Diceros bicornis minor: one gene and its partners. The protein of the gene in region 2 interacts with the protein of the main gene of each other region in a pairwise test. Links are inferred from orthologs where the notes say so. Each region holds a gene or a part of one and is shown on either strand. Other genes may lie near its edges. The genes, in order: GSE1, RBPMS, C7H11orf87 and VENTX.

Evidence for each region.
Region 1: the proteins of RBPMS (region 2) and GSE1 interact in binary tests that used the Homo sapiens proteins (3 or more experiments, as listed by UniProt). The link is inferred for Diceros bicornis minor from reciprocal best matches to the Homo sapiens genes RBPMS and GSE1.
Region 3: the proteins of RBPMS (region 2) and C7H11orf87 interact in binary tests that used the Homo sapiens proteins (3 or more experiments, as listed by UniProt). The two-hybrid records come from large-scale screens. The link is inferred for Diceros bicornis minor from reciprocal best matches to the Homo sapiens genes RBPMS and C11orf87.
Region 4: the proteins of RBPMS (region 2) and VENTX interact in binary tests that used the Homo sapiens proteins (3 or more experiments, as listed by UniProt). The two-hybrid records come from large-scale screens. The link is inferred for Diceros bicornis minor from reciprocal best matches to the Homo sapiens genes RBPMS and VENTX.

What each region holds. Positions count from the first base shown.
Region 1 is NC_080771.1:34,077,115-34,084,599, reverse strand, and holds the start of GSE1 (genetic suppressor element 1), read right to left. Parts: upstream 3,001-7,485; 5' UTR 2,576-3,000; coding exon 1,160-2,575; intron 1-1,159.
Region 2 is NC_080768.1:28,063,263-28,071,074, reverse strand, and holds the start of RBPMS (RNA-binding protein with multiple splicing), read right to left. Parts: upstream 3,015-7,812; 5' UTR 2,398-3,014; coding exon 2,332-2,397; intron 1-2,331.
Region 3 is NC_080746.1:26,507,311-26,514,312, forward strand, and holds the start of C7H11orf87 (uncharacterized protein C11orf87 homolog), read right to left. Parts: upstream 2,852-7,002; 5' UTR 2,615-2,851; coding exon 2,018-2,614; 3' UTR 1-2,017.
Region 4 is NC_080745.1:95,295,338-95,302,587, forward strand, and holds the start of VENTX (homeobox protein VENTX), read left to right. Parts: upstream 1-4,237; 5' UTR 4,238-4,702; exon of another isoform or gene 4,703-4,834; 5' UTR 4,835-5,511; coding exon 5,512-5,749; intron 5,750-7,250. UniProt on the Homo sapiens protein: May be involved in ventralization.

The DNA of each region.
Region 1 (7,485 bases), on a different chromosome or scaffold from region 2:
GTTCGTCCATGTAAAAGGAGAGGCCGTCCCACCAAAGCCCCCACAACAGCCTAAAGTCCAAAGAGGACGTGGGCAGAGAAGGAGCCCGGGTAGCGCGTGGAGGTGAGGGCTGGACACGAGGGGAGGCGGGCAAATCGTGGCAGGGTCCACTTTACAGGCACAACCACTGTGAGCGAACACGCAGCCCGGGAATCCCCACACACGTGCACACGCATGTACACACGGGAGGCGGCACCAGGGAGCTTTCAAACGGATGGAACGACCATTCCCGAACAGGCCGGAGACACCCTTCCCCATTCGCCGTCCCTCTGCCGGCCCCTCACCAGCGGCTACCACTCCGGGTATCTGTTAAAACAAGTCGGTCTAACCGGCTTTGGGGGATCACAACGCACGGACGTTTACTTCCCCACACCCACCGGGGGGAAGTTCCTGCTTTGGCCTTGGCAAATCTGGATCCAAAATTAACCGAGCCGGGTCTGGCTCCTCCCTGGCAGGCGGCCTGCAGGCAGGCGCCTTACAAAGAGGGCGAACCCAGGCCCCCCTGCCCTCCTCCGGCACAGCTGACTTGCAGAGAAGAAAGACATTTCCCACCGGGGGAAAAGTCTGTTCGGGCCACTATCCCCCGGGGCCCAAACCCCCACGTCTGGAAATCTGTTTCCATCTGCTGTTAAGCAACCACAGCGTCTCAAAGGAAAAGTGTGAACTTGGGTGGAAAACTCTGGAAAAGCTAAGCCACGCAGGAGCTAGAGTAGAGAGGAACTTCCACCTCAAACCGGGTAAGTGCCGAGACCTCTCCGTGACCTGTGTGGCTGGACTAATTACCAATGTTATCAGGCGGATGACAGACATGCCCCGAACTTCCTCCGTTTGACAGATTCTGCTGCAAACACCCTCAAGTTCAGGCCCATGCCTACTGCTCACAGGACCGCCCTATTCTTCCACAAGACCGCTCCTGGCCCCCCAACTCCTCAGAGCTGGCACATGCCTCCAAGTTCAGCCAGGCCAACATACCCACCAAGTGCCAGACCAGGGGGGGCACCTCCTGCTGGAACGCACGGCTCAGAATCAGTGCAAACTCCTCCCCAGCAGAGGAACAGAAAACAACGTCTCTTCCTTCCCTGTGCAGATTTCAGAGCAGGAGATGAGAACTGCTGCTTACCTTCATAGCCGCTGCCACTGGGGAGCTCCAGCCCATGGGTCCCTGGCGGGTAAGTCCTTGGCCAGCACACACCAGGGTCCCGCACTCCACGCAGGCGCCAATGATCAGCTGCCGCCCGTCGTCCACCAGCAGGCTGTGGCTGGCTCGCAGGGTGTAGAGAAACAAGGGTAGCCGGGCAACCCGCACGGCCTTCAGCCCAAGACATCGCTTCTTCTCCTGCTGGCAGAAGAAGCACACAAACGTCTCCACCTGGTACTGCCGAGACCAGGCGCTGATGGTGTGGTGGGCACCGCGGGCCTCGTGCTGCAGCCACTGGCCCAGCAGGTCGTGGTAGCAGAGCACACAGGTGGACACCAGGCCGGTGGAGTCGGCAGGCCTAGCGCGCGGGGCGGGCGGGTAAACAGTGAGGAAGGGGAAGAAGGGCTCCTTCTCGCCCAAGCGGCTGGAGGGGTTCACGTTGAGCTGGAACTCCCTCCCGGGGCCCAGCTCAGCCCCGCAGATGTAGCAGACGGACGCCGGGCCGCCCTGGACCGACGCGGGTGGCTCGGAGACGGCAGGGTCCCAGGCGGAGAAGGCCTGGTGGTACCGGCCCAGGAAGCCTTGCACCGAGGTAATGAGCTCCTCGTTCTGGCAGGCCCGGTACAGGGCCCAGACATCCTCCAGGACGCTGAAGCACTTGGGGCAGCTGCGCACCTCGCAGCGCTTGTTGGGGCCCCGGGCGTTGGGGGGGCAGGGCAGGAGGCTGAGGAAGGGGAAATGCATGGAGCCCCTGGCGTTGCCGTTGAGGATCCTGGAGGCCACTGCCCGGGCATCCTGGGTACAGTCCTCCCCGCAGAGGTAGCAGGCCTCTGGCAGGGCCCCAGCCGGCAGGCCCTCTTCCCTCGGGAGCCTCCTGCCCTTGGAGGCCATGCCGGGGGCGTGGCTGTTCAGGGGCACCACGTACAGTCGCTGCAGGACAGGCACGCGGGCCAGCTCGAAGCTCTGCCACTGCTGCATGAGGGAGGAGAAGCAGCATGAGCACACCAGGGTGCTGCCACCCTCGCTGATGGGCTGCGCCCCGGGGGGCGGGCTGTGCAGCCACAGGAAGGGGAAGAAGGGGGCCTGGGCCAGCCTCTCCTGCTTCTGCACGTGGATCTGGTGCTGCGAGGCTGGGGACAGCGTCGACCCGCAGATGTAGCAGCAAAGGCCCTCTGGTGGTGCAGGCCGGCCCTCCAGGGGAGCCCGGGGGACGCGGCCACCACCGTTCTCCGTCTCTTTGGGGCCGCAGGAGCCCGGGAGAGGCTGCTCCCTGCCGTCCTCTTCCTCGCTCGTGACGTTGATGTCACTGTCATCAGACACGCAGCAGCCTCCTCGGGGCTCCCCCAGGGGCCTGCCCTCGGGAGTCTTGGCGGCCCTGCCCGACGGGGCTCCTTTCATGCTATCTGCAGGGGCCACCCGGACTGGAGGGTCTTGCCAAGGGTCCTGGATGCCCCTCAGGACGCTGGCTCGGGCCTCAGGGACCCAGTGCCTCCCAGCGCCCTTCCGCCGGCGCCGAATGCCGGTCTTGGGCTCCCCGTCCACGTGTAGCTTCGAGGGGACCCCCTCCTCCTCCGCGTCCCCCTGCGCGGGGGTCTCCGCGCCCTGTCCCGGAGGGGGTACCGGCGCCGGCCTCCACTCCTGGCAGCGGCCCCCGAGAGGCCCCGGCCCCGGGGTGGCCCGCGCCGCCGGCGCCCCGCCCTGGTGGGGACTGGCGGCGTCACGCGCGGTCGGGTCGGGCTCCGAGAGGGGGTCGGTGTCCGATAGCTCGGACAGCTCGGAGTCTCGAGTCTCCTCGGCGGCCGCGCGGGGCCCGGGGACGCCGCCACCGTCGTCGTCGTCGCCGGCCGCGCCGCCCAGCGCGTAGGCGACGTTCCACTCGCGGGGGGCCCCTGCGCCCCCGCGGCGCCCGCCCGCGCCCGCGTCGCACTGGTGGGGCCGCTTGAGCCAGTACATGCGCTTGTCCACGGGCGTGCGGGCGCGCTCGAAGGCCGCCCACTGCTCGCCCAGGAAGCAGCGGCACACGGCGCACACCAGCACGCAGCCGTCGGCCGGGGACAGCTCGCGCGCGCCGGGCGCCGGCTCCTGCTGCTGCAGGAACGGGAAGAAGGGCTGCGCCGGGGCCCCTGCGCCCGCCGCCGCCGCCGCCGGCTGCTTCACCTGCAGCTTCAGCTCCTTGCCGCGCCCGATGCCGCCGCCGCAGATGAAGCAGGAGAGCGGCGCGCCGCCGCCGCCCGCCGCCCGCTCGCCCACGGCTGCCATGAGCCGCTGCTTGCGGGAGACCAGCGCCGGCCGCCCGCTCATGGCCGCGCCGCGCCGCCCGCGCGCCCCGGGCCGCCCTCACCGCCCGCCCGCGCCGCCGCCGCCGCCGCCGCGCCCAACTTGGAGCATGTGTGCGCGCCGCAAAGTTTGGCGGCGGCCGGCCGGCGCGGGCGCGGGCGCACGGTCGCTAGCAGGGGCGCCCCCCCGGCCTGCCGAGCCCCCGGCGGCGCCGCGGCGAGCGCGCCCGGAACGCAGCGGCGGCGGCGGGCCCCGGGCGGCTGGAGCGGCGGCCGCATGTGCGAGCTCCGGCGCCTGCCAAAGCGTTGGGTCATTTAATTGGGGAGGAGGGAGGCGGGGCGCGGGCGGCGCGCGGGAGGAGGGGGAGGAGACGGGGCGGGAGGCGGGAGCACGCGGGCGGGGGAATCCCTCCCTCGCGCGCCCTGCTCGCCGCCCGCCCTCCTCCTCCTCCCCCCCTCCTCCTCCCCCCCTCCTCCTCCCCCCTCCTCCTTCCCCCCTCCTCCTCCCCCCCTCCTCCTCCCCCCTCCCCCCGCGTCCCAAACTGCGCACAATGGCTCGCCGGCTCTTCTATCTATTTTGTGTCCAGCCGGGAGCCGCGCTCGATGATTCATTGCCCCAATTAGGGCCTCTCTCCAGCGCGGCCGGCTCGAGCCGTCTGAAGGGTCTCCTCGGGGACCCGCGGAACCCATCAGCGGCTAGAGCTGCTCTTTAAGTAAAGGGCAAGCAGGACGCGGGAGGAGCCAGGTAAGGACGTGGCCGGCGCCCCCCGGAGACAGAGGAGCCGGCGAGGAGCTCTCCGAGGGGCGGCCTCGGTCCAGGAGTAGGCAGGCACCCTGTCGATTTCGGTCGAGTTGCTCCGGCCCCCTCCCCCTTCTAAAGGGGGGACCGAATGAGGAGCAGTTGCAGCCCTGAGCTGCCTTGGGTTGGGGGCACTTTTCAGGGTCCAGTGGTCTGATTTTGGAGACAGAGGGAAGAGGAGCTGTCCCCCGTCTCCTGGAACACATTGGTGAATGCACCATCCGGGGGGGCAGAGGCCTCAGCCTCCACACCCCTCCTGGCTGCTGGCAGAGACGGAAGGGATCCTGTGTGTGCCAGGCTCTGTGTTCCAGGGCAAGTGACTCGACGACTCTGGGCCCTTTCCTCCTCTTGTTAAACAGGAGTTCTGGCAGGAGATTAACAGTTTCCACATATTTATTGTTTATGTGTATACATACGCTGTATTTATTGAACACAGAGAGAGACCTTAGCATGTGCCAGGTGCTATTCTAAGCACTTTATATATACTCGGGGTTAAGCGCTGTGATCAGCCCATTTCACAGATGAGGAAGAGGAGGTGCTGAGGGTTGTTACTTTTCGAGAGTGGAGGAGCTAGGATTCAGACCCAGGCAGCCAGCTCTAGGCGCCTGCTCTCAACCCCCTGGCTGTGCAGCCTCACTACGCAAACATCTGGCCCCCGTCACTCCATCTGCCCATGGAGACTCTCCAGGGCAGGGGACATGGCCAGGATCCCTCCGTCCTTCCTGCTGCTCTGGCTCAGGCTGGGAGGCCTTGGGGGAATCCAGGCATCTCTGGGCCTCACATTTCCCATCTGTGAAATGCCACCCCTCCCAGCTTCAAACTTCTATGAGTCTGTGATTTCTGAGCAGTTGACAGCTGTCCCGACTTGCCAGCTGGAGCCCAGAGTCAGCCTGGGGACAAAGGTGCCAGGTGGGCCCCTCTACCCTCTGGGGCATTGATGTATAAATAAAACTAGGCTTCCTCTGGCCCGGAGGAGGGCCGTCATTATAAATAAACGGAACAAGAGAAAGGGGCCACCTCTCTGGAACCCCTGGTGGAATTCCAGGGGTCACAGTCCAGGGGTTAACAGCAAAGTCATCACCATCATCACCAGAAACTCGGGGACTGCGGGCCCTCACCCAGGCCCAGAAAAAAGCTGTGTCAGCAAAACTATCTGGAAGGAATGTTGGGGGCAGGGCGAGGGGGTTTCCCTGCTTCTGGCATTTTTAATACCTGGTGAGAGAGGGGCTGATTAGGGAGCCTTTACAGGGTGAGGTCTGGGTAACTGTGTCCAGCAGAGCTATCAAGCCCACACAGACCACGAGGCGGCTGCTAACGTGAAGCCGGCTCAGGAAATGCAGGGCGGCCTTGGGGTTGCGTGGGGCTCCCTTGAGGCTTGGCACATGCCGTTCCTTCTGCTTCACGTGCCTTTCCAGGCTCTCTTTGTGAAGCCAACTCTGGCTCATCTTTATGGTCTTGGCTACAATGTCTTCCCCCAGAGGATTCCCTGCCTTCTCCATCTCAAGCAGGTTCTCCTTGTTATTCTCTGTCTCTGTTCATTGGCATAGGAATTTGTCATTGCTTTTATTTATTTTTCTGTCGACTGTTCCCTGTCTGCCTCCCCAGGAGCCTGGGTGCTCCCTCCCCCTGGGCAGGACCCAGGTCTATCTTGCTCACTGTGTGTATCCAGGGCCTGGCTTAGTCCCTGGGTCCCACACTGCTGGGTCCCAGTGCTGTGCCGTCCCTCTCTAGCTGTGGGCGCCTTGGGCAAACCTCTTAGTTCCCTGAGCTTCAGGTTCCTGCTCTGTACAATGGGGTCATGGTCCTCATCGGATTTGTTTGTGTGCATCAAATGAGGCAGAGAGAGGGCGATGCTCTGGGCACAGGGCCTGGCACGCTGGAGGTGACAGTGTGTGTGTGTGTGTGTGTGTGTGTGTGTGTGTGTGTAGACCCTGCCTGGCTCTGTCCAGTGGCTGAGGAGGTTCTGCTATGCCTGTCTGCACTGCGAGTGGAGGCGGGCACTGTGATGAGGTCCCACCAGAGTCTAAAGGAGGAGAGCCACAGCGGTCGACAGGACAAAAGGGGGGAGTGGAGTTCTCTTGCTTAAGCTGGGGTCATCCTTGAGGATTCCCTGAGTATGTGCCACGTGTGTGGAGGTGTGTGTGTGCATGTGTGGGTGTGTGTAGATATTCGTGTTTGTGTGTGCATGTGTGTATGCATCTGTTACCGTGTACGTGTGTGTGCGTGTGCCGGTTGTGTACCTGTGTGCATGCATTCATGTGCACATGTGTACATGTGTTCACGTGTGTGCATATAAAGTGGGCTGGGACCCGGGGGAGAGAGGCTTCCAGCTGGATGTTTTGTTTCCCTCAATGACCCGGTGACTCAGGAAAGTCCCCTGGCACACTTCTCGGGAGCCAGGAAGCAGGTGAGCACCGACCAGAGGAGGAGGAAGACAGGGGAAGATGGTTGGTTATCTGTGGGTGGATGACATAGGAATGGGGCCGCTGGTGCAGATTCACATCACAGTTCTGCCAGTTACTAGCTGTGTGGCCTTGGCCTGCTATTTAACCTCTCTGAGCCTCAGTTTCCCATCTGTAAAACAGGACTCACAAAACCCCATAGAGCTGGGGAGGATGAACTGAGACGACCCAGGTGAAGCACACCCTCTGGACACAGAAATGACAGCAGTGTTTGTGCACGTCGGCTGAATGTTAGTTGCACACAGGAACCTGTGCCTTATAGACTCAAACTTGCTGAATCTTTGCAACAAGCCTGTGAGGTAGGTTCTGTTATATCCCCAGTTGACAGATGAGGAGACAGAGGCACAGAGAAGGGAAGTAAAGGCCCAAGGTCGTGCAGCTTGGTAAAGCAGGGGCTGGAGCCAGGCGGTGTGTCTCTGTCACTCCCTGGCTTTGTTAGCTGTTAAGATTAGCTTTGCCCTAAGTCCTGAGATGCCAGCTTGTTAGGGCAGGAATGGCTACAGTCTCGTCCTCCCTCTCCTCACATGTGTCCCCAATTTCACACCTATGGAATCTGAGACCCTGACAGGTTCATGTCTGGACATAAAACAGGCCAAGAATGTGCCACAAGATGAGAAGAGATGTCAAGGCTCATTTGTGTTAACTTCATGTTGGAGCCACAGGCTCCCGACCCCAGAAGAGCCATCTCCTAGCTTCCCTCTGAGCCCCACGGCCCTCCCTGCAGCTAGAGAGAGGGCGCCAGGCTCCCCCCAGACCACGTGAATCACCGCC
Region 2 (7,812 bases):
AAAAAAGAGGTTAGGAGTTTTTCAAAAACAAAACATAAATCCCAAACAGGGAATTAGGACAAAATTACCTGGATCGGTCAGGCCAACGTACTTTCTTTTCCTGAATTTTTAACACTATAAATCCTCTCTCTTCACGGTTTATCTGTTTTGTACACTCCACCTCTTCTACAACTTACATTCTGAAATCTGTCCTCTTATTTTTAAAATAACAAGTGTCTTGCTAAAACTACTGATACTTCCTAGAGCCACACGCCATTCCCACCTGAAAAGGAACACTGTCAGGGCAACAGGGCAGGGAAGAGGCAGTGAACTGTCCTGAGATGGCCAGTGATTCTACTCGTACACAACCTCCCACATTAAGTTAAGGTCCCAGGAACAGAGCAGACAACACCTCCGACCTGGCAGCAGTCAGGCTGAGCTGAGTCAAGCAGAAAAAGATGACTTTTCTCCACTTACTTTTATCAAGTTAACTAAGTTATGGTTTTGGGACACTCAAACCTCTTTTACTACCTATCAAAAGAAAAAAAAAAGTCTTTGGTTTGCCTAATTAACTTTTCCATTTACAAGCTTTCTCAGTTGGGAGAACTGAGAAAAAAGATGATTTCATGCAATATATTCTTACCCTTAGAAAGAAAAATTGCCATTCTAAGTGAAATAGAAAGGTTTCTGAAGCAATTATTATCTTGGTGTGTTAAATAAATTTGTTAAATATAGCAACTCCTTAAAAAAGCAAACTTGTCATCATTTTTTAAGTTTTATTTCAGTGGTAGGGAAAATAAATAGCAAAGCAACCAGTAAGGTTCAAGAAAAAAGTGGAACTTGCAATTCAAGTGTCCATCTCTTTGAAAAACAAAAAAATGTCAGTGGTATTCCTTCACTTGTAGTTAAAAAACCATTCGCATGTAAACAACACTTTTCAAAATAATAGTTTATAATAAAATGGGCAATTTCTTCAGGTGAAAAGGCAATTTTCTGTTTACTGCAATTCACCTAGGTTGCACTACCACAAAACTGTGTTAAGAGGAAAATCTTGTTATTTATTTTGCATTGTTTTGCATAGTCTTTGCTCTCTCCTCTATCTTCCCCATTTACATAGTTCCCATTTTACAAGTGGACAACATGCTGAGAGCTTATATGCATTAATTAAATCCTCTGCAAGGTTTGCTTTCGCTATCTGAATATTAGTTTGCACACAATATCTCAATAATAATCTCAACATCCTAACAGCTTCAGAATCAGTTTATCATTCTGTTAACCTTATACACGAGGATGCAGTACCTGTAAGAATGCTTTATAGGTCACATCTGGATGCATACTTTCTTGCATCCACACACTCTCAAGTTTCTTTTAGAATGTTTAAGAACTCAGCTAGTGTGGAATCTTAAAAAGTGGGCGAAAAGTATTGTTTCTTGGACTCCATATAACGTACCTGCAGGAACAGAGCCATTTAATAGGATACCACAAAATATCCTAACTACAAAATCCTGAAACGTTTGTTCAGGAGTTCTCCCCTACATTTACTGAATTTTGTTTTTCTACCAAAGGAACAATCCACAGCCGCAACATTTTTACCGCAATTACGGACGCACCACATTAAATTTACGCTCAGAAGTCAAAGTCCTATTAAATAGTCTCGATGATCATTTGTAAGGGGTAACTGTAAGTTTTAAACTTTTATTCTGCTCCCCACAACCGCATCGCCCCTAAATTTACAAAACCTAAATTACCCAGGTTCGGGGTCTTTGACTCATCAGAGAAGAATGCGGCTGATTAGTTATCTATTAATCCAAAATGCCTCAACTGGAAAGACATTTCACCAAGAACTTTTAACACCGAAAGGGAGGGGGCAGGGAAGAAAAGGTGTCTCTTAACGAGAACTTTCCCCTAGTTTCTTCCTTAAACTACACAAACACCAACGCACCCCACGACTTCCAGCCCTAGACGCAGAACTAAGTCCTGACCCTCCGGGTCCCAATAATCTGAGGTCACCCAGGAGTCAGCTCTCGATTCCGCTTTTAAAATTCCAGGCAAACAAAGCTGAGCGTTCTACTTACAAAACTCTCCGAAAAGTCTTCCAAGTTACGCAATTTTAGGCACGCAGACGCGCGTGGACCCACAAAAACACCCTCCCCGGAGATACACCCTCCGGGGCCACAGTTTAGGGCTCTGTCTCGGGGCAAGGACCTGCCCAGACCCTCGGCTGCGGCGCCCCCTCCCCGGCGCGCAGCCGGGCGCCCCGGGACCGGCTCTCCCGCCGGCCCCCGCACTCTGGAGAAAGCCCGCGGCTTCCGTCCCCGGTCGTCCCCGCCACCGCACCGAGCCACTCAGTACCTCTTCCTCCTGAAGGTTGGCCTCGTTCGGGGTGTTCTCCTTCTCGGCTTTGCCGCCGTTGTTCATCTTCCCGGTCCTTCCTCGCCGGGCAGGGCTGGGGCGCGGGGCTGGGCGAGGCGCGCTCGCCCACTTTTCCCTCCCCGGGCGCCGGGGCTCCCTCGGCGGGCGCCGCGGGCTACGGGGGCTGCAGCCGGGGCAGCGGCGGCTCGGGCTCGGGCTCCCGCGGCGCGGCGAGACGGCGGCGGCGGCGGCGGGCGACTCAGGAAGTGCGAGGGAGAGAGACGGGGCAGGGCGAGGCGGGCGCGGGCGGACCGAGAAGGGGACGGAGACAATCGGGACCCGGGAGGGAGACCTGGAGAGGGAGGGCGGGCGCGAGGGAAGGAAGGAAGCAGGAAAGGATGGGGCGAGGACGCGCGTCCCGGGACTGAGCCCGGAGAGTTGGGGATGTGGCCGAGTAGGGGCCGGGGGCGGCTGCTGCCCGAGCGTAGCTGGAGGGAGGGGGCGAGGGGTGCCGGGAGAGGAGGAGGAGGCGGAGGAGGAGGAGGAGGTGCGGGGCAGCGGGGCGCGGGCCGCGGCTGGGACGCTGGGACCCGGAGAGCCGCTGAGTGCGCGCTCCTGGCAGGCTCTGGGAAGTACGGGATCCAAGCAGCTCCCTTTCTCTCGCCTTCCTCCCTCCCCTCTCTCCTCCCTCTCCTCCTCCTCCTCCCTCCGCCCTCCCTGGACGTGGGCTGCAGGCTCTCGCCGAGGGACGGGACGCGGGACGGCGAAGCCCCCCGCGGGAGGAGGGGCCGCGCCGAGGGCGGCTGCCCCGCGGCCGGATGGCGCGCGCCGGGGAGGGGCGGCGGGCCGCGGGCGGAAGCCGCCGACCCTGGCCCCGGACTCGGCGGTAGGTCGGAGGGCGGGGGCCGGGCAGGGGGAGGGAAGGAGGTCAGGTCCTCCGGCTCGCTGGGCCCCTGGGGGCCGAGTTGGACAACTCGCGTGGCGGTGCGCGCGAGCCGGGAGAGGGGCTTCGGAGAGCCGGGCCCCGCCAGCGCGACCACCGGGACGTGTGATGTGCTACTTTTGTTTGCCTGCTTTTCACGAGGGATTTGCACCCCCATCCCTAAGCCTACCTCTCCTTTTCTGTACCGCTTTAGACCCATTTCTTCCCTTCCTAGTGGGCAACTTGAAATGACAGGATGGCGAGAACTCGGTGACGTCCGGGGGCAGCCAGCTCCGGGCCGGCGTTTTCAGGGCACAGCATCAAACCCACCTCGAACGCCGGGTCCTCCGAAACCTCTCCAGCCTCCCCACCGGCCGGCTGTGGCTCTCCGCTAGGCTTCCCGTGGCGCCCGTTCAGACTCCTCTCACAGCCCGTATCAAACTGTTCTGGAGTTATTTGTTGACCTGGCTGTCTTCCTCACTTTTCTGGGAGATCCTTCCTGGAAGACAAGACCGTGCCCTGTTTATCTTTTTAATCCCACGGCTTTTTAAATACGCTACCTGGTATATAGTAGGCACTCAATAAATATCTGTTGGGTAAGGGAATATTCGTCACTGCAAGCCGAACTGGAGGCCAATACAGGTGATCTTCAGAGGGTCAAAGCATCTTAGAGGAGAAGGGGGTCTCAGCTGACCTCTGGGAGGTCAGCGCACAACACTCGTTTATGCACCAACCTCGGAAGGAGTGCATGGTTTCCGTTTCCTCACCTGTGGAATGGGAGTAGTTCTATTTATCTCCAGGGGTTTGCTATTAGAGGAGATTATAGGTTGATAGCGCTATAGCACCTAGCACCCATTCTTGCCCAGTTTAAGGTTACAATACTTGGAGGCTAACATTTTTATTAAGGAAATTTTCCTGAGCCGTAGAGAGCTTTTCCAGGACTGTATCATTTAAGCTTTCCAATATGACTGGTACAAACATAAATTTGAAACTCTGTACATCAGTAGGTTCTTCCTCACTTCCCACTCGTAGGAATTCTGTCACAGCATGCTGTTCCTTTCCCGCACAGCACCAGTCACAATTTCTATTTATTTATTTGCTTGCTTCACTATTTGTCTCTTCCCCCCCTCCCCCCACTAGACATTCTTTACCCTATACTGGTTTAAGTGCTGCTGGAAATGGGGTGGGGGTGGAGGTGGGCATTGAAGATAAGGCCCCTGCTTTTAGGGAGTTTAAAGTGGTGTGGAGACAGGATACCCAAAACAGCTCCAGGGCAACATAATCGCAGATCCTGGCTCAAATTGTGGAAAGCAAAGAAAATATTTGCTTTAAGAGCATTGTGAAGAGAAAATCAGTTAGTGATATGTAGATTTACATGTTGAGTTTTTCAGGGGGGGGGTCTGAAGATTTTGATAAAGAGCTTTAATTGCTGTCATGATGTCATTTCTTTCTATGGGAAAAAAAAAAAAAGATGTATCCTGGATGAAAATAAACCAAGAGTCTATTGAAATTGCGATTGAAGTTCAGAAGAGGTGAGGGCTACAATTAATCCGGAAACTTGGACAACCCTTTCCACTGCCAGGTCCTCCCTCAGTTATATGAGGAACCACGAGGGGGCAATGTCTTCTTGAGCAGTGGCTGAGTGGTGGTCTTGGGCCCCTACACTGACCAGTAATGCCAGCACTTTGCCCTCCTTGGCCATTCTTGCCTGTTCCTGAAGACACTCCACAGAAAGGCATTGTCTTGCTGGAGCCTGGCCAAGGCCCAAGAAAAGTGACAATTGATCTAGTCATTGATGGTTCCAGTCAGACTCCACTCATGAGTAGGTGGGAGATGTTGTGTGATTCCAGGGTAGCGAGAGAACCTCCCCTACCCCCACCCAGGGAAATGTGGCTTAATCCCAAAGGTAGGACCTGATTCCTTTGTCTTTAAGCCAAGCTGGCACTGTGTCCTTGTTAAAAGTCAAAAACCCCTGGGATAAAAAATGAGAATAAATTCCATGAGAGGATCCTTGTCTAGTTTGTTCATTGTGTTCCCAACATCTAGACAGTGCCTAATGCACAGTTGGCACTCGATAATTGTGAGTGAATGAATCCACTGAGTCTTATCAGTTATTTATTCTTGGGCTTGAATGACATTATCAGATCCTTCCAAGACCCTGCAGGAGGGACTGAATTAGTAGAGGCATCTTAGTGTGGAGAGCCACCACAGGGGCACTAGGCAGATTCATGGTAGTGGTCTTTAGTCATTATTTTGCAGGGGGGAGACCCTAGATAGAGAGCTTGCACAGAATGGGGCTACATCAGGTAGCTGATGATAAAGCAGGGAAACCTAGAACATATAGTCAGTGGCAAGCTTGAAATTCAGGGTGTTTTCAGAAAAGTGTATGGGGCTGGGGTAATACACCAGGAAAAGAAGGACTCCTATTTTGTCCTTTCCATGAAGAATGGTTTAGACTTATTTGGAAGAACAATAAAGTCATGTTGCCAACAAAACTCAATGAAAATCTGTACATAGACTTTAGCTATTTATAAAACTTTGTGAGTGAGGGGAAAGAGTTTGACTGTGTTGGGGGTGGGGGGAGTGTACATTCATTCAGGTTGTAATGATCTTTATGACCTGTTTACTACTTCAGAGAAAGAAAGTTTCAAAAGTGAGATCTCAGTAGCAATCGTTTTCAGGCCTACTAAGAGTTATAAAACAACAAAGGGATTTTATGTCCTAGAAAAATAGGGCTAATGACCAAGAAATCTGCTTCCTCCCCTGCCCACCATTTTGCCACATTGCTTCTGGCTTATCAGGTTACATGCTAGGTTGAAAGGGAAATATTGTCTGCACGTGTAGTTTTCCTTATTCATCTCTGTTCCTCTGGCAGTGTTCATTTTGAGGCTTGCTTTGAGAAATACAAACCTACAATTATGTCTTAAATGTTTGTCTCTGGGAAGTGCAGGCATTAAAGGTCTATTCTGAGGCAATTTGCATGGCTTGTGCTCTGTACCTATGTTAGCACTGAGGCAGAAAGCTGCAGTATCTACCACGTGTTGTGATTGTTAACTCTTCTACATCCTCTGCTGGACCGAAAAAGTTCTTGAGGCCAGAGGCTGTGTTTTATTAGTCTTTGTTATCCTTAGCACTTCTCACTCCCTCACCCCACTCCCACCCACCTCCAGGCCATCACCATCTTCTCCTGATTTTATTTATTAATTTTTAACTGTGGCTAAAAAACACACAACATAGTATTTACCGTCTTAACCACTTTTAAGTGTGCAGTGCAGTAGTGTGAAGTATATTCACATTGTTATGCAACGTCCTCCTGATTTTTACCTCCTAAATAGTTCTGAGATTCAATCACTTCCCTCCAATCATTTGTGGAAGCCCACACAGCCACATGGAGAGGCCCATGTGGAAGAGAATTAAGTCCCCGGCTTACGGCCCCAGCTGAGCTCTCAGTGGACAGCCGGTACCAATTGCCAGCCTTGTGAATGAGTTTTCTTGGAAGTGGATACCCGAGCTCTAGTTGAGCTGCCCTAGCTGACACCACATGGAAGAGAGATGAGCTGTCTTCACTGAGTGGCGCCCAAATGGCAAAATTGTTAGCATAAAAGTGAATGCTGTTGTTTTAAGGCACTCAGTTTTAGGGTGGTGTGTTATACAGCCATAGATAACTGAAACATAATTACGTGCCAAGAAGTGTGGTCCTGCTGTCACAGAAACCTAAAACATATGGCAGTGGCTTTGGGATCAGGTAGAGGATGGAAACTGGAGGAACTTTGAGGAGTCTGTGAATGAAGAGCATTATGAAAGGACAGTGCGAGTGTTGTTATTGCAGGCTGGAGAAAACGGGACCCCATTTATGTATTGGAAGAACAATGAGCTAAACTAGCCTGCTGTTCCATGAAAGATAGAAAAGATGCCTAATGAACATGCGCATCTGGCTAAGGAGATTTTTGGATACAATGTTGAAAGAGTTGAGTGGTTTCTTTTAGATGCTTATGGTATAGTACGAGACAAGTGAGATGAGCTAAAAAAAAAAAAAAATGAACTGTTCTGTTTTCAATCAGAATTTAGAGGAAACATAAAGAAGCCAGGACTTGCTGGATTTGAAATAAAACTATTGCTCATTTCTAGCTTCTCCAGAGGAAAAACTCTCAAATTAAGAAATGGCTTAGGGGCAAGGGTCAAATCCAGGATGCCTTAGGCCTGGATGCCTAAATATGGCCTTAGGTAAAGTTCAAGGCAAGGGTGTAGCTAGAAAACCCTGTGGTAGGCAGCCTCTACGATGGCCTTCATGATTCCTACCTCCTGGTATTCAAGCCTTTGTATAATCCCCTCCCCTTGAATGTAGGATAGACCTAGTGACTTGCTTATAATGAATAGAGCATAGCAAAAGTGATGGATATCACTTCTGAGATTAGATTACAAAGCGACAGGGGCTCCCATTTTAGACACCCTCTCTTGCTCTCTCACTTGCTGCCTTTGGTGGAAGCCAGCTGCTGTGATGTGAGCTGCCCTATGGAGAGGCCCATGTGGCAAGGAAAGGTAGAGGCCTCCATCCAAGA
Region 3 (7,002 bases), on a different chromosome or scaffold from region 2:
TTTGGGTGAGCTTTGTTAAGAACATTCTTATTCATACATTTTCCAAACGTTTGAACAGCTGTCAAAGAATTGGTTCCTAAGAAAGGATGCCACTGCATATAATTAAGATTATAATATGCTCTGGCCCCTTTATCATCAATCCAAGGGAAACAAAGTGGTAAATAACCACAGGTGGACTCCATTTCTAACATAGATGGCCTTGTGTGGCATTAGAAGAGAGAAGAAAATTATTGATCTTCTTCTCTAACTTTCTCTTTTATCAATCTTTCTTCATGTATTCAGTGAAGTTAGGCAAGCCAGACTCAGAAAGAGAAAGAGAGTCTTTCCTTTGCTGCATCTCAGATTTCTAACTAAACAAGCTGCAAACATTTTTGTCCTACAAGTAGTCACTGCATTTAACTTCTCTTGAAATTTGCATGTCCTGTCATCCACATTGCCCAACATCCCCACCAGTCTCATCCCAAACGCATACAGTACAAGCAAGCACACACACCACTGCCTCCAGGTGGTAATTGCATGCAGGGAGGACTACAGGCACTGTTTAAATATTAACCATGTTTTAATAGATGGCATTCCTGCACATCCATTATTTGTTTGTTTTCTATTGTGGTTGTTTCTGTTATTCGCAAAAGAAAAAAGAAAACATGTGTCATCTTTTTATAACAGTCTACTACAGAGTAAGGTACAAAAGAACACTTCTGGAAACAGCAGAAGCCAGGCCTGCACCACTGAATTCCACATCCAGTGGTAACCATTATATCAACAGCTGGAAATTAAGAACAAGAATATACAGTTTGGAGGATGTAGTACAGAACTATAGTTTGCTTCTGTATTTGGTACCAATATAGTAAATATATAACAAGGTGCACTTGTTCTAAAAATTAAACAGAAACATTCTGGTTGGTTAGATACTGCACTTTCAGTACTGCACATCACCTAATACTTTTTTTTTTTTTACAAAAAAGGGTAACTTATGCAATGTTTAATAATAAGAAAACCAATAGTACACGCAAACCCGATTGTAGGAAAAGAAGAAAGAAACCAACAAAAAGCCAGAATAGTCACTTTCCAAAACAGCCCCTCCTCCGCCTGCACAACCAAAGAAAGTAACCAGTTCGGGAGGCAATTTCAGCACCAGATCTGGCTGGACAGCTCCCCGATCCTTTCTGAATCCTGAAAATGCATACAGGTCGGGGCGGGGCAGGAAGTTAAAGCAGTAGATTGTTTAAAAAAAAAAAAATTCATTTAAAGATTTTTAATATACTTATGCTCGGCCAGCGAGGGACATTTCTAAAAGTAAATTAAAATGCCTGGTCCTGAAAAAGGGACTGGTTAACCAAGGGGTGAGAAGAGGGCTGACTGGAGGGTGGTACCTGTCATAAACGTTTTTCTGGGACTGTCTCTGTGGCCTCTTGTAGTTCTGGCGCTTCATGTAGACGTTTTCTTTATAATATACTATTGTCTGAGCCTGGCTGAGGTTGGGAATGGGGAAGGGAGGTAAGCTGAAGGAAAAGTGAAAGCTTGGAGGGTGGAGGGGAACGAAGGTAACTGAACCTTAACTTGACAGCTATGTACAACACACTGGGCCCCCTCCACTCCCTTTGCTCCGGGGGTCAATGCCTTTTATATATTTGGTAGTTTGTGCTGTTTCTCCTCCTTATTGTGGGGGGCGCAGGGTGGAGAGGGAAGACGAATCCTTCATTGACAATGAGAAATTATGTGATTTGTCATGCGCTTGGATTGTGTTATTAGCATAATAATAATTACTATAAATATTAATAATAAAGTACTGTTATCAGCGTTATTTCTTCTTCCGAGACTTTCCTCGCCCAATATTTACAAATACCGCACAGTGCCTCGGCGGAGGAGAAACAGAGTAAGGGGAGGGTAGTTAAGGAAAGAAGGAAGAGGAAAGAGAGGGCAGAGGAAAGTGGAAGAGGAAGGACGGGGGCGGGGGGGAAGCGAGGACGGCAAAGATGCTGGAAACGAGGAAGGGGAAGGGTGAGGGGCTAGACAATCAGGACAGTACCACCGTTTGCAAAAGGCCCTCGCCAGCTGTGTCCAAACAGGAGGAGGCTTCGTGTGCTCCTTGCGGACTGGGGGCCGGTGGTGGAGGCGCAGGAGCACAGGGACCCTGGCATGGGAGGCCAGGGGATGAAGAGAAGGAGGAGGAGGAGTTGGAGGGAGCGCAGAAGGCAGAGTCCTGGGGCTGCCTCTCCAGACGGGTTTCTTTTGCGTGGGTTGGGGCCTGGCTGCCCGCCGGAGGCAGCCCCCTGCCGCCGCGGTTGCCGCTGCAGTGATCTCGCTCGTATTCCTCCTGAGCCCTCTGCATCTTCCGCTTCTTCATCCGACGCTTGTGGATGTGGAAGGTGGAGAGTGACAGCACGATGAGGCAGAAGATGAGGGTGACCAGGACAATCAGCACCAGCGTGGAGGAGAAGGACTGGAAGAGCTGCTGTCCCACCTGCGTGATGCAGGTGCCGCCGCCGCCGCCTGCGCCGGGGCTACGGGCACTCGCGTTGCCGCTGCCGCTGGCGTTGAGGGAAGCAAAGGTCCGGTTGAGGAGACACGGCGGCAGGGCCAGCCTCAGCTCCTTGGGCGCCCTGGCACTCATCGGCGCTGGGCTGGGAGGGGCCGGGCCCACCAGACTTCCTCTTTTGGGCACACCGTTCCCACCAGCCAAGAAGAGGACAGAGCCCACGCCACCCAAAACTACTCTCTGGTGTGGGAGGGGATGCGCGCGAGCGAAGGACTGAGGGAGCAACTGCGGGCAAGCAAGCCGGCCAAGGAGCGAGCGGTGCCCAGGAGATCCTCTCCGGCCCCGCCTCGAACGCGTGTCGGCGCGCCCTTTTCCTTTGCCAAGGCACCAGGCTGCAAAGAGAACAGGCTTAATTAGGATCTCGGCCGCTGCCCAGGGGCGTGCGGAGGACCAGAAGGATCAGCCGGCACTGCAAAGCGGCCCTCTGGGCACACCGCCTCAGCTGGGCGCTGCCGGTCTTCGCAGCCCGCGGACCCCAGCCCGCCCGCCCCTGGCCGCGCACCAGCTTCGGGCTCCCGCCACTCGCAGGGAAGGGGTCTGCGCCGGCACCGCAGAAATGCGGATTACTCAGCAGATAGAGCAGCCTCCCTGCGCCCTCCACAACTTTCTAATTGCAACAACCACGTAGCCGCCTCAGAACGCGGTCTCTGCTTCCCAGAGCACCGACTCTCTTTCCTGCGCCCTCTCAATGGACGCCTTCGCCTGGATCCCACCCTACCCAGCACCCACACCCTGCCCCCGAGCGGGCTCGCAGTCCTCGCTTCTCTTCCCTTTCCCTCCCGACTCTCCCTTCCCGGACGGCGTCAGACCTCTTAGGTCCCATTTCCGTGAGGGTACCGCTGGCACCATATCCCACTCCACCTCTGCCCGCGGCCCCGGCTGACGCGCAGGATCGCGCTCCATCCTTTCTCCAGCCTTCTCTTGTACCGCCCCTCCACCAAAAAAAGCAACTGAAGCACCTTTCTCAGCTAAAGCACATCCCCGCAAATGCCCCCTTTTCTCCATCTCGCTGTGCTTCCCACTTGACAGTATCCTGCTTCTTTCTACGGGAGCTGGAAATGGAAGGGGGAGGGTTCCTGCCTGCAAAGTTTGGGGAACGGATCTTCTCTCCGGCCTGCCCAGACCCAGCCCGAGGGCCCTTAGGCTCTTCCCGGGGACCAGTGCAGGTAGACACGCAGGGCGCAGCAGAGCCCCCTCGCCGCTCTCGAGAGGCAGCTGCAAACTGTTGCACTGCGGAGCAGCGAGGCGGCGCGCAAGCCCGGGCCGGGGCAGGGGCGGGGGCCGAAGCTACGGCCAGGGGTGCCTGCGCAGGCCGCCGAGGCTGTCCTACCCACTCGCGCCCGGCCACCCAGCCGCCCAGAGCCTTTAGCCGAACGGCGTCCCTTACCTGGGGCCGCCAGCTGGCTGCAGGGAGGGAGCCCCCGCCGCGCGGCTGCAGTGGCGGCTGCAGAAGGCGCGGAGTGAAGGGGCCAGAGACCAAGCCGTGCTGCTGCTGCCGCCGCCGCCGCCGCCGCTGCCGCTTTGGGGAGCTCAGCTCGCAGCCTATTGCCAGAGAGGCCGGTGACGTCAGACAGCCACCGCCAGGGCTCCAAGCCACCCCTCAGGCCCCCACCTCACCCTCATACCCCAACACTTCGTCCTGGCAGAGCGAGCCTCTGCTACGTTCCCAGTTCCCTGCCCAGGGGCTATGAAGAGCAATCCTCACCCCCACCCTGTGAGCAACCCACCTTCTGCCCTCCTATGCTTAGGAAGGAGGGCTGAAGCTTTAGTTCTTTGGCTGCCCAATTCCTCACCTTCAACCCTTTCCCACATGGTCCCAGGAACACGTTTTTACACTCTAGAGATCCATCTGCCCTCAGGGCACACACTAGAATTTTCTCCTTCTGCTGATGAGGATCATCCCCTCCCCAGTCTTGTCTATGCTGACCTGGTTCTGAACAGAAACTGCGTACTTAAGAGAGATGAGAGGGGCATTTCTGAATGCAAGAGTGGAAGAACCTGAAATACAAATCTGAACATGTATTTAACATCAAACAATCCAAATTAACTGTTTCCCCCTCCACCAGAGTCTCCAACTTACCTTTCACTCCACCTGACTCGTGATCCTCCTCTCTCCCCTCACACGCTCATGAACCCGCTCAAGGAATTAACACTTCTATTCTGACTACCTAGACGCTCATGAACACACAAAGCACACACAAGGCTTACAAGGGATAAAGATGAAAATCACTCAGAGCAGCACAGAAATGAACTGCCCTGTGAAAATTCTGAGCATTGTGCTCTTACAAAGTACCCCTTCATTGGCCCTAATGCTTGTTAAAGCGCTTGGTGCCTTTGCTGTAGTATTAACCATAGCCTTTCAGCATAATGGATAGAACTTCCTAAAAGATTCTCATCAGCCTGCCTAAATCTGGGCAGAGACTAATCAACTATTAGTTTAGAACCCTTGGGAAAATATGAATGGTGCATTTGGTTACAGTAGCCAGCTTCAAAATGAAGTATTCTCATTTTTCTACTGGAGAAGCCAGTTTGAAACAGCACCTAAAAACACTGTATGGTCTTTGAAGGCACTCAGGTGTCTAATTAAATGTGCATTTCCTTTTCTCCTCCTTGTCATGTTTTCATCCAATCTTTGAGTCTAACACAGTGCCTGTACAATATTTACTTGTTAAATTGAGTGATACAGCATACGTTGCTGCTTTTCCCTGCTGCATCAGGTAGCAGGAATGTCTGATACCCACCTATCTGCTTGTATTTGCAAGCAGAGGGTTTTGTAAAGAAAGAGGGTTTGACATGGAGAGCAAAAAGTTGTTTGTCTGTAATCTGAGAGTCCCTTCTTCTGACCCTCAGTTCCTATCTAGTCCTCTCCAACTTCTCCTTTTCCTCTCCTTGCCCATGACTTATATATGGAGAAAGAAATACATCATTTCTCCCCCAAATTCTGTTTTCATTTATTTGAATAAAAGTCATCAGCTTTTTCTTCATAATTGCCTCAAAAAAAAAGTATCCATATTTAAGCGAATAGTTCAGTACACGCTGAATAATGCGTGATTACTTCAGAGCATGGATTGATGCCCTTGGCCCCAGAGTCACACAATTAGTGATGGCCAATGACCTCAATGCTGGCTTAGCTTTCCTGCCTGGAATGAGGGCACCTGATGCCCTGTAAAAGCCACCTGCCACATTTGGACATCCTGACTTTGATGGGCTCAGGCGATGGGATGGCGAGCCTTGTTTTCTCTGTAATCACTAAGTGACACTTCACCATTGACACCTGACATGTAATGTCCCATTTTTGCACCATTTCTTTCCTCCTGAAAAGTTGAGTCTAATCAACATTTTGGAAAGCAAATCTAATTTTGAATACTCCAAAAAGGGATCTGGCTATTTAAAGAGACTCTTTAGAAAAACTGTCTTGTAAAGCAAAGAATCTTTACGTAATTAGAATTAACTCTCACTGGTCTATCAGTTTTCTAGACTTGGAGGAATGAGTTATCAGGTTTTCCCAGTGAGGAACATAAATACCTTTATAATATGTTGTAATGGGCTTACAATATGAATATAATGGGATTCCTCTTGCACACCAAGCTTCTAGGACATGTGATGAGGCTGTCATTGTTCTTACTCTGTTGTTATAAATGATAACCATCCGTTATACCAGGAGTGCTAAAAGTGTCTGCACCATTTTACACAACCTCTGAAAAGACAATGTCTTGCCCTGGAGAACTTAACAATCTTCAGCAGATAAATGTGATCCAGAAGACAACAGTATTTAACTGGAAATGATTTAGGTAGATTAAAGACATCAATTCTCAGGTCAAAAGCCCAGCTTTTTTTCCCTTTCCCTTTAAAGAAGAATAGGCTATAGGTTCATAATTTGTTCTTACTCAGAGAATGAATGTGCTAAATACATATATGCTAAATACATATACCTGCCTCTTGGGCTGCAGAAATTGATCCCACTGAGTTGCTATATGATTTTGGCACATCTGGCACAATGGCAAGGCTTCTTCCAGACAAGAGGTGGCCACTGTTTTTGCCACTAAACTTCTTAAGCCACACTCCCAAGAGTGGAGGACCAAAAAGCTTCTGAGATTCCCAGATACTTCCCTGGTGATGGGAAAGCCCCTCTGGACTCAGGCACTTTCCAAATATTCAGCAACATATAATACTTGCTCTCCAGTTTAATGAGAGATCTCCATCTATCTTAGAGAGAAGTGCCACATGGGCACCTGGTACATCAAACCAAAGGGGCACTGAATCAATAACAATAATAAAAAAATAATAACAACAAAAATAATAATAAATGTATAAATAAGTATAAATAAATAAATAAAATAATAAGTGCTATTATTATTATTATTTGCAAAATACCTACTATGTGCCAGGCTGTACTACATTCTCCCTATAGTATAGAAGGAAAGTACCTCAACACAATAAAGGCCATATATGACAAACCCACA
Region 4 (7,250 bases), on a different chromosome or scaffold from region 2:
CCCCTCAGGACACCCAGGGGGCCCTTCATGCCTCCCTATCTTCTGAGCCCTTGGTTCTGCTCTGTTCCTTCAAGGGCCCTCTGGACTCTAAGAAACGTCAGATCCCTGAGCGAGGGAGCAGTAGGTCTTCATCCTGACCGTTTCATGGGGACAGGATTAACCTGGCCTGTATTTCCTGGCTGTGTCTTCTGCCAGATGTTTTCCATGTTTGTCAGGGTCCCGGAGGCCTGCCTTTGTACAGACTGGAAGGTCCTGTGCCCCATGCCCTGTCACCGGCCTTGCTTCTCAGGGCACCTCTATGCCAGCCTCCTGTTCCTGGCAACTCTGCTTCCCCAGGGCCAGCGACCTGAGCCTTTAGGGCGCTGTGTTGATTCTCGCTCACTCTGTCTGCTCCCTGACCCTGGTGTGACGCATGCTGGACACACTTGCAGATCTGGGGGTGAGCCTGTCCTGCTTTGCCGTCATCACAGATCTCTTTAGTCCCCATGGCTGCTGCCATCCACAATGCCTGTCATCTTTGTCACCAGAATCTCCCAGAAGGGGGTCCCTTCCTGAAGACCCCAGGGGTCATTGTCCTCATCATATTTATAAGGAAGTACCACTGCTGCTTCTGTTTTCTCTGACTTGTCTTGGTTCTTTGCTGTTTCTAATAGCAGCAGCACATCCTGTATGTCTGGAGCAGCACTGTGCAGTAGAACTCTCTGGAAGGATGGGAATGTTCTAGAACTGTACTGTCCAATACTACAGCCACCAGCCACATGTGGTCACTGAGCTCTTGAAACATGGCCGGTGCGAATGAGGAACTGAATTTTTTTTTTTTAATAATTTTATTTATTTATTTATTTTTTCCCCCAAAGCCCCAGTAGATAGTTGTATGTCATAGCTGCACGTCCTTCTAGTTGCTGTATGTGGGACGCGGCCTCAGCGTGGCCGGAGAAGCGGTGCATCAGTGCACGCCCGGGATCCGAACCCGGGCCGCCAGCAGCAGAGCGCGCGCACTTAACCACTAAGCCATGGGGCCGGCCCTCGGAACTGAATTTTTTAATCTAAATTAATTTAAACCTCCACGCGTGCCTGGAGTTCTACATCCAGCCCTTACATAAATTCTACTTTATTTCAGTGTTAGGTGCCGTTGGTTTCAGGTTCCTATCTTCAGAATCTTGCCTTTACATTTGCATTTAATTCCATTGCTGAGTCCCCTTCCTTTCCCCCGTCTAAAGCCTGGAGCCTGAGGCCCTCCAGCAGAAGTTTCCTCTGCAGTGACCAGGGGGACTTACTGGCAACTTAAGAAGCGCAGCAGAAGGGCACCCCATGTAACTCTCAGCCCGTCCACACGAGCCCTTCAGAGCCCTGCCTGCACCCTGTCTCTTTGGGGTGCAGCTACAAGGCCACAGGGCCTGGCCGCCAGGTGGTGGCTTTGATCTGTCTGCTCTGCGTGGACTGCGCAGGGGCAGGGCTGCACTCCAGAGCAACCCAGAGCCTCCAGCCAGAGGCCTCTGCTGCGGAGGACAGAGGAGCCAGGCACCCGCCGCGGGAGAAGCAGGTCAGCGGGGTCGAGCTGGCGGGAGGTCACCCTGGAGCTAGGACAGCCTCTCAGGATACCGGTTCCCAGGTGCCAGCCATGCCACTGAGCAGAGCGACGGAGATGAGGGCAGGGAGCGCAGACAGGGTGTGAGTGCAGAGGCCACACTGGACCCGCGCCTGCCGAGCCCACTGTCTCTGTGTGTGGGACACAGAGCAGTGGCTACGAGGACCAGACGTGAGGGTGGTCAGGGTTCCAGGGTGGGCCACGGCTCCCTGACATGCTGCCAAATGACCACAGGTGTGGTCCGTGTGTCCGGGAGGGGCATGTGGGCCCTGATGTGTCAGCAGTGGGGGTGATTCAGGCCTGACGTCACTGTCAGCCACCATCGTACGGGACCACCTGGGTCTTCATCCCTCTGTCCCACCCTTTTTTAAAATCACGGATTCCACTGTTCTGTCTTTAACCAGGTGTTTTGCAGACCGCTGGCTGGTCCCTAACGCCCTTGTGTGTCCATCATCCACGCTCTTCTTCCTTTCGCGGGGGGCGTGTTCTCGGGGAACGCCCACGCAGGTGAGGAGCCAGCGCTGGCCGAGCGGACGCCCACAGCCTGTGCCCACTCCCTCCCTCCGGGACCTTCTGCCCTGGATCTTCACCCGCTTGGATCCTGGATCCCGCTTCCCACCGTTTTGCAGAGCCCCGAGCTGGGGGGCTTTTCAGGTTTGTCCTCCAGAGCCCCGCCTTCCCTGTGGGGTGGGTGGGCGCTGGGGCTTTGGGGTGGGTCATCGCCCACCTGCCCCTGTCTGTCCACCCTGCCTGCCCTGCTGCAACCTCTGGGGGCCAGAAGGACGAGAGGCGGGCAGGGGGCGTGGCTACGGGGAGGGGACAGGGTCGGGCTGGGGGAAGGACGTGGAGGGGAGGGGCGGGGCCGGAGTGGGGGAGGGGCGTGGAGGGGAGGGGGGAGGGAGGCGAGGCGGCCCCTGGCCGTGGTTTCGGTTCCCCGATCGCGTCGGAGGCCCCGGAGGCTCCAGGGCTCGAGCGAGGGGGGACCAGACCAGCCTCCACCTCCCAGTGGGGCGGGCGTGGAGAGGGGGTCTTGGGGTGGCCGTGGAGATGGCCGGGACGAGGCGAGGCCGCGGCGGGAGGGGGAGCGAGGTGGGGAGCCTGGCTCCGGACTACGTGGGGGCGGGGCAGCCAGAACGCCCGAGGAGTGGGGGCACCCACTCACCGCCACCCCCACCACGCCCGTGCCGCCCGGGTACAGGTGGGAGGCGGCCCCCCCGGCGCGCAGGTGCCGCGACGTAGAGCCAGCGGCCGAGCGCCAAGGCCACGCCCGCGTGTAATCCCCGGGTCTCGGGGAAGGCGGTGGAGGGACGGTGGAGGGGCAGCGAACCCGGGGGCGCGGGTCCCAGAGCCAGGGGAGGAGCAGGCCCGGGGAGCCCTAGACGCTGCTCCGAGGCCAAGTGAGGAAGCTGAGGCTAGGCACGGGTGACATTGGCCCGAGCAGCCGGCGGAGACAGAGGGGCCCACAGTGCAGGAGGGAGGGGTGGGGAGACCCCAGTGGACACGGCCGGCCGGGTGAGGGGAGAGGGGCCTGAGCCCGTGGCAGTGCTGAAGGGAATGACCGAGGGGCCGCTGGGAGGAGGGGATCACACCAGGCAGCAGCCAGAGCTGGAGGGGAGGACACAGGAGGGAGAGGCTACTTGACCTGCTGAGGTGGGGTCACCTTGGACTCTGGAGTGGGACTCAGGTAGGGGAGGGTGTAGGCAAGGAAGCTGGGAAAGTGGAGGCCGGAGGACGTTAGAGGAGGGTCCCTGATTACGGAGCAGATGGCTGGGCAGAGCTGAGGAGGGTGCTGAGGAACGTGCGGGTGTGGAGCCAAGAGGCCAGGGGACCCGGCGGGAAAAATCAGAGGTGAAGAGACGCTAAAGCAGACTTTCCAAAGACCAGAACCTGAATGGCTGACATTTCACGAATTAACGCTGCTGAGTGCACAATGCAGTAATTTCCAACAAATGCTCCTTTGTCCGGAGGAGGCCTCTCCGGCCTGTTCTGTGCGTACTGAGCAGCCATGGGGGGGCTACTTCCCTCTGCCCGGTTTGTGAGGTACCCTCCCACCCCCGTTTGTCCCGGAGGAGCTCTGCGCAGGCCTGCACCAGCTCGGCCTCTGTCCCCAGCTAGCTGGACGGCCCCTGTCGCAGTGGTGCTAGCAGCCTGCCCCAGGGCGTCCTTGGAGGAAGCCCTGGAGCCACGCGCACCCGAGGGGACCTCACTGTCCACCTCCAGGACACCCTGCAGTTCTCGTACAAGACACCTCACCGGACACTAGGCCAGTGATTCAGATCCCAGCCTCCCCCTGCGGGGTCCGGTGATCTAACTGGGCTGGTGCAGGGGCGGGAGGAAGGCCCAGGTCAGCGGCGTTGTGGCCCTTCACACGCACGGGCGGTCAGCGCCGCCTGGTTCCCCGCTGTGCCCGCGGGGGTCCGGCTCCCACATCATCACCGGCCCCTCCCCTGCCCGAGAGGCTCAGGAGGCGGGGTCTGGGTGCTAATCCTGGGCGAGGCCGCCAGGCCTTTGATCTCCGCCGGGCCGCGTGGGCGCGGGCGGTCGTCCTTGCCCCTCCCAGCCTGGCGCCGGCGTCCCCGGGGGTCGAGGCTGCTGACTCGATCCGTTTGCACTGAAGCCCAGCCGCGCGCTCGGGTCCGGACTAGCGCTGCACCCGACTCCAGCCGCCGGGGCCGTAGCCTGGACTCCCCCCAGCCCGCGCCCCAAGGGGCGCCCAGGGCCCGCCGGGGTGGGTTTCCGCAGCACGTGTCCGTCTGCCGGGTCGCGTGCAGGAGACTGACGCTCTCCCGCGAAGGTTGTGGGGAGGCCCGGGGGAGGCACCGCCGGCCGTGGCTTGGGGCGGACGGCGTGGCGCACCTGGCTGCCTGCGCCTCCCGACGGACGCGGACGAGGCCAGTTCAGGGGTGAAGTTCAGGAGTGAAGCGGCCGCGGGGACAGGGTGACCGTCTCGAGGACACCCTCCTTAAGTTTTGGGCTCCACCGTCCCCCGGGGGCTCTGCAGTTGCCCAGCCCCAATGGGGGCAGCTGGGGCGTGGGAAGAGTGATGTCGCGTGGCTGCAGCTGAGTTCACGCCCTGAGCGAGCACACCCCCCTTCGTGTCACCCCAATCTGGAGGTAGCTCCTGGGGCACCGAGTGAAACCCAGCAGAGGGGCTGGGCGGGGGCGGTGGATGGTGAGAGAGAAGGGCCTGCAGAGCGGAGGGTCCTTCTCTGCACAGCCCCTCCCCGCCCTGTCTGGCTTGTGCAGTCTCCTTCCAGGAATGCCTGCCCTACATTCCTACCCAGCTGGACAGCCTGGACGCAGCAGACACCCGCCCTGGCCGGGCCCACTGTGTCCTGCGAGCAGCGATGCTGACGCCCCACTTGTAGCGAACTCTCCCTCACCGCGGGCACTGCAGACACACGAGGCAGGTTGGAGGACCAACCTGGAGCGAGAAGATGACCTGGCACCCCATAGGACAAGCCCCCAGGGAGGGTGCTGGGGTGGGAGGGGCCGTCCTCACCTTCCTGCAGCCTGGGCCAGCCGGGTGGGGGTGGGGGAGATGAAAGGATGTAACGAGTTCCCAACCTCCCCCAATCTCCCCTAACGCTGACCGAAGCCCCGCCCCTCCCCAGACATCTTGGAGCCGGGGGAGGTGCGAATGGCCTCCTTTGTGCCTCTGAATTGAAGGCAATTAGGTGCTACTTATCTGGGGGGGGATTTGAGCCATCTATGCAGACCTGCCTCCCAACCCTCCTTCTCCTGAGCTTATAAATGTAGCCCGGCCCTGCCAAACTGAGGCGACCCTGTGCTCAGCCCAGGCCACCTGACCAACTCTCTGCTGACGCTGCGCCCAGCCCCCACCGTCCGCCCTGCAGAGGACCCTGTACCTGGGCCCACCACCATCTATCCCCAGGATCCTGAGCAGAGCACCACGTCCAGCCATGCCTCCCTTCCCCGCCCTGCCTTGTGGCCGCAAGCCAGCCTCCAGCTTTGGCTCTGTGGCCTGGCTATCTCAGAGCAGCCATGCAGAGCAGTCGCACACCTCCAGGCCCGCTGAGGTCTCTTGGGAGAGCTTCTCTGCCCCAGCCAGGGTGTCCGGCAATGGGGAGCCCCCTCAGACCGTGGGCATGGGGGAGGTGAAGTCCTCAGAATTGTCTGCGCCAGGGACGCCCACAGCTGGTAGGTCTGGAGATGGGGGGAGGTCCCTTCCTCCCCAGATGAGGATGGGAGTTGGGGAGGGTTCAGGAGGTTGGGGGCATTCTCACTAGGGCTGGGGTTTGGGGTTTCCTGACCTCTCTGGCAAGTGAACGCTTCCCCTTGGAAGCAAAAGCCACAATGGGGGGTTTCCCTCCTCAAGCCCCTTGGGGCTCCTCTTTCCCACCCACCTCCTACAGGGGCCAGCCCCCTGCCCTCTTGCCCAGGCCTGGGCCCACCAGTCGCCACCCCCCACGTCCTCACTGTGAGCCATAACGCTGACGTTAGTGCCTTTGTGCACGTGGATTTCAGATTCTGTAAAAGTCTTCGGGACCCATTTCCACCATGAGTCACAGGGTTGTGGATAAGTGTGTCATAAAGCTTATGAAACCTGCCCAGTCCAGAGGGCTCCTTGTGGCCCCACCCGAAAAGCCGGGCCCCTTAGTTTGGCACCTAGACTTGAGTTGGAATCCTGCCGCGTTAGTTCACGGGGAGCCACGACCTAGTGACGCCGCCCTTTGCATTTCCGCATGTGTGAATTTTGGTGCCTTCTGCGTGCTCGGCTCCCGGGAGGTCTGGTGGCTCCTCAGCTCTGTCTGACCTTTTGTTCACTGCCGAGAATCCTCAGTTTTGTCTCTGTGACGTAATCATCACTTTTAGGTTTAAAGTCCAACGTGGTCAAAAATGGGGTTCTTGTTATACATAAGTTTTCATTTTTAAAAAAGTTTAAGTAATCCTTACAGAATAATTTTATACTTCGATGAGGTGAAATTTTAAATTTATTCTTTACAACCAGTACTGCCCCCAAAAGGCTAGCCAATCATCCTGCATCAAAATCCTTGATGCTGACTGGTTACGCCCTCCAACCCCCACCCCTCCAAGCAAGCCTTTGCTCCTCTCGTCCACTGGACGCTTCTAGTTAAGTGTTTAAAACTAATTTTGTAAAATTTGGTTTCCCCGAAGCAGCTGATTGGCCTTTTTGTCAGATGAGTTGCATAGTGACCGAGTAGACGATCTTCACCATCCTGTCTTCCTTCACCCCCTCGGGGGGAGTGTTGGGGGGTTGCTTACTGCCATTCCTCATCTCCTAGTTTATTTTTTTTTTAAAGATTTTATTTATTTATTTTTTCCCTCCAAAGCCCCAGTAGATTGTTGTATGTCATAGCTGCACATTCTTCCAGCTGCTGTACGTGGGACGCCACCTCAGCATGGCCGGAGAAGCGGTGCGTCCGTGCGCGCCCGGGATCCGAACCCAGGCCGCCAGCAGCAGAGCGCGCGCACCTAACCGCTAAGCCACGGGGTCGGCCCCCTCATCTCCTAGTTTAGAAAGTAGGGGGGCCGGCCCGGTGGTGCAGTGGTTAAGTGCCTGTGCTCTGCTGTGGTGGCCCGGGGTTCGCAGGTTCGGATCCCGGGCGCGCACCGCTGCACTGCTTGTCAAGCCAAGCTGTGGCGGCATCCCATATAAAGCAGAGGAAGACGGGCACAG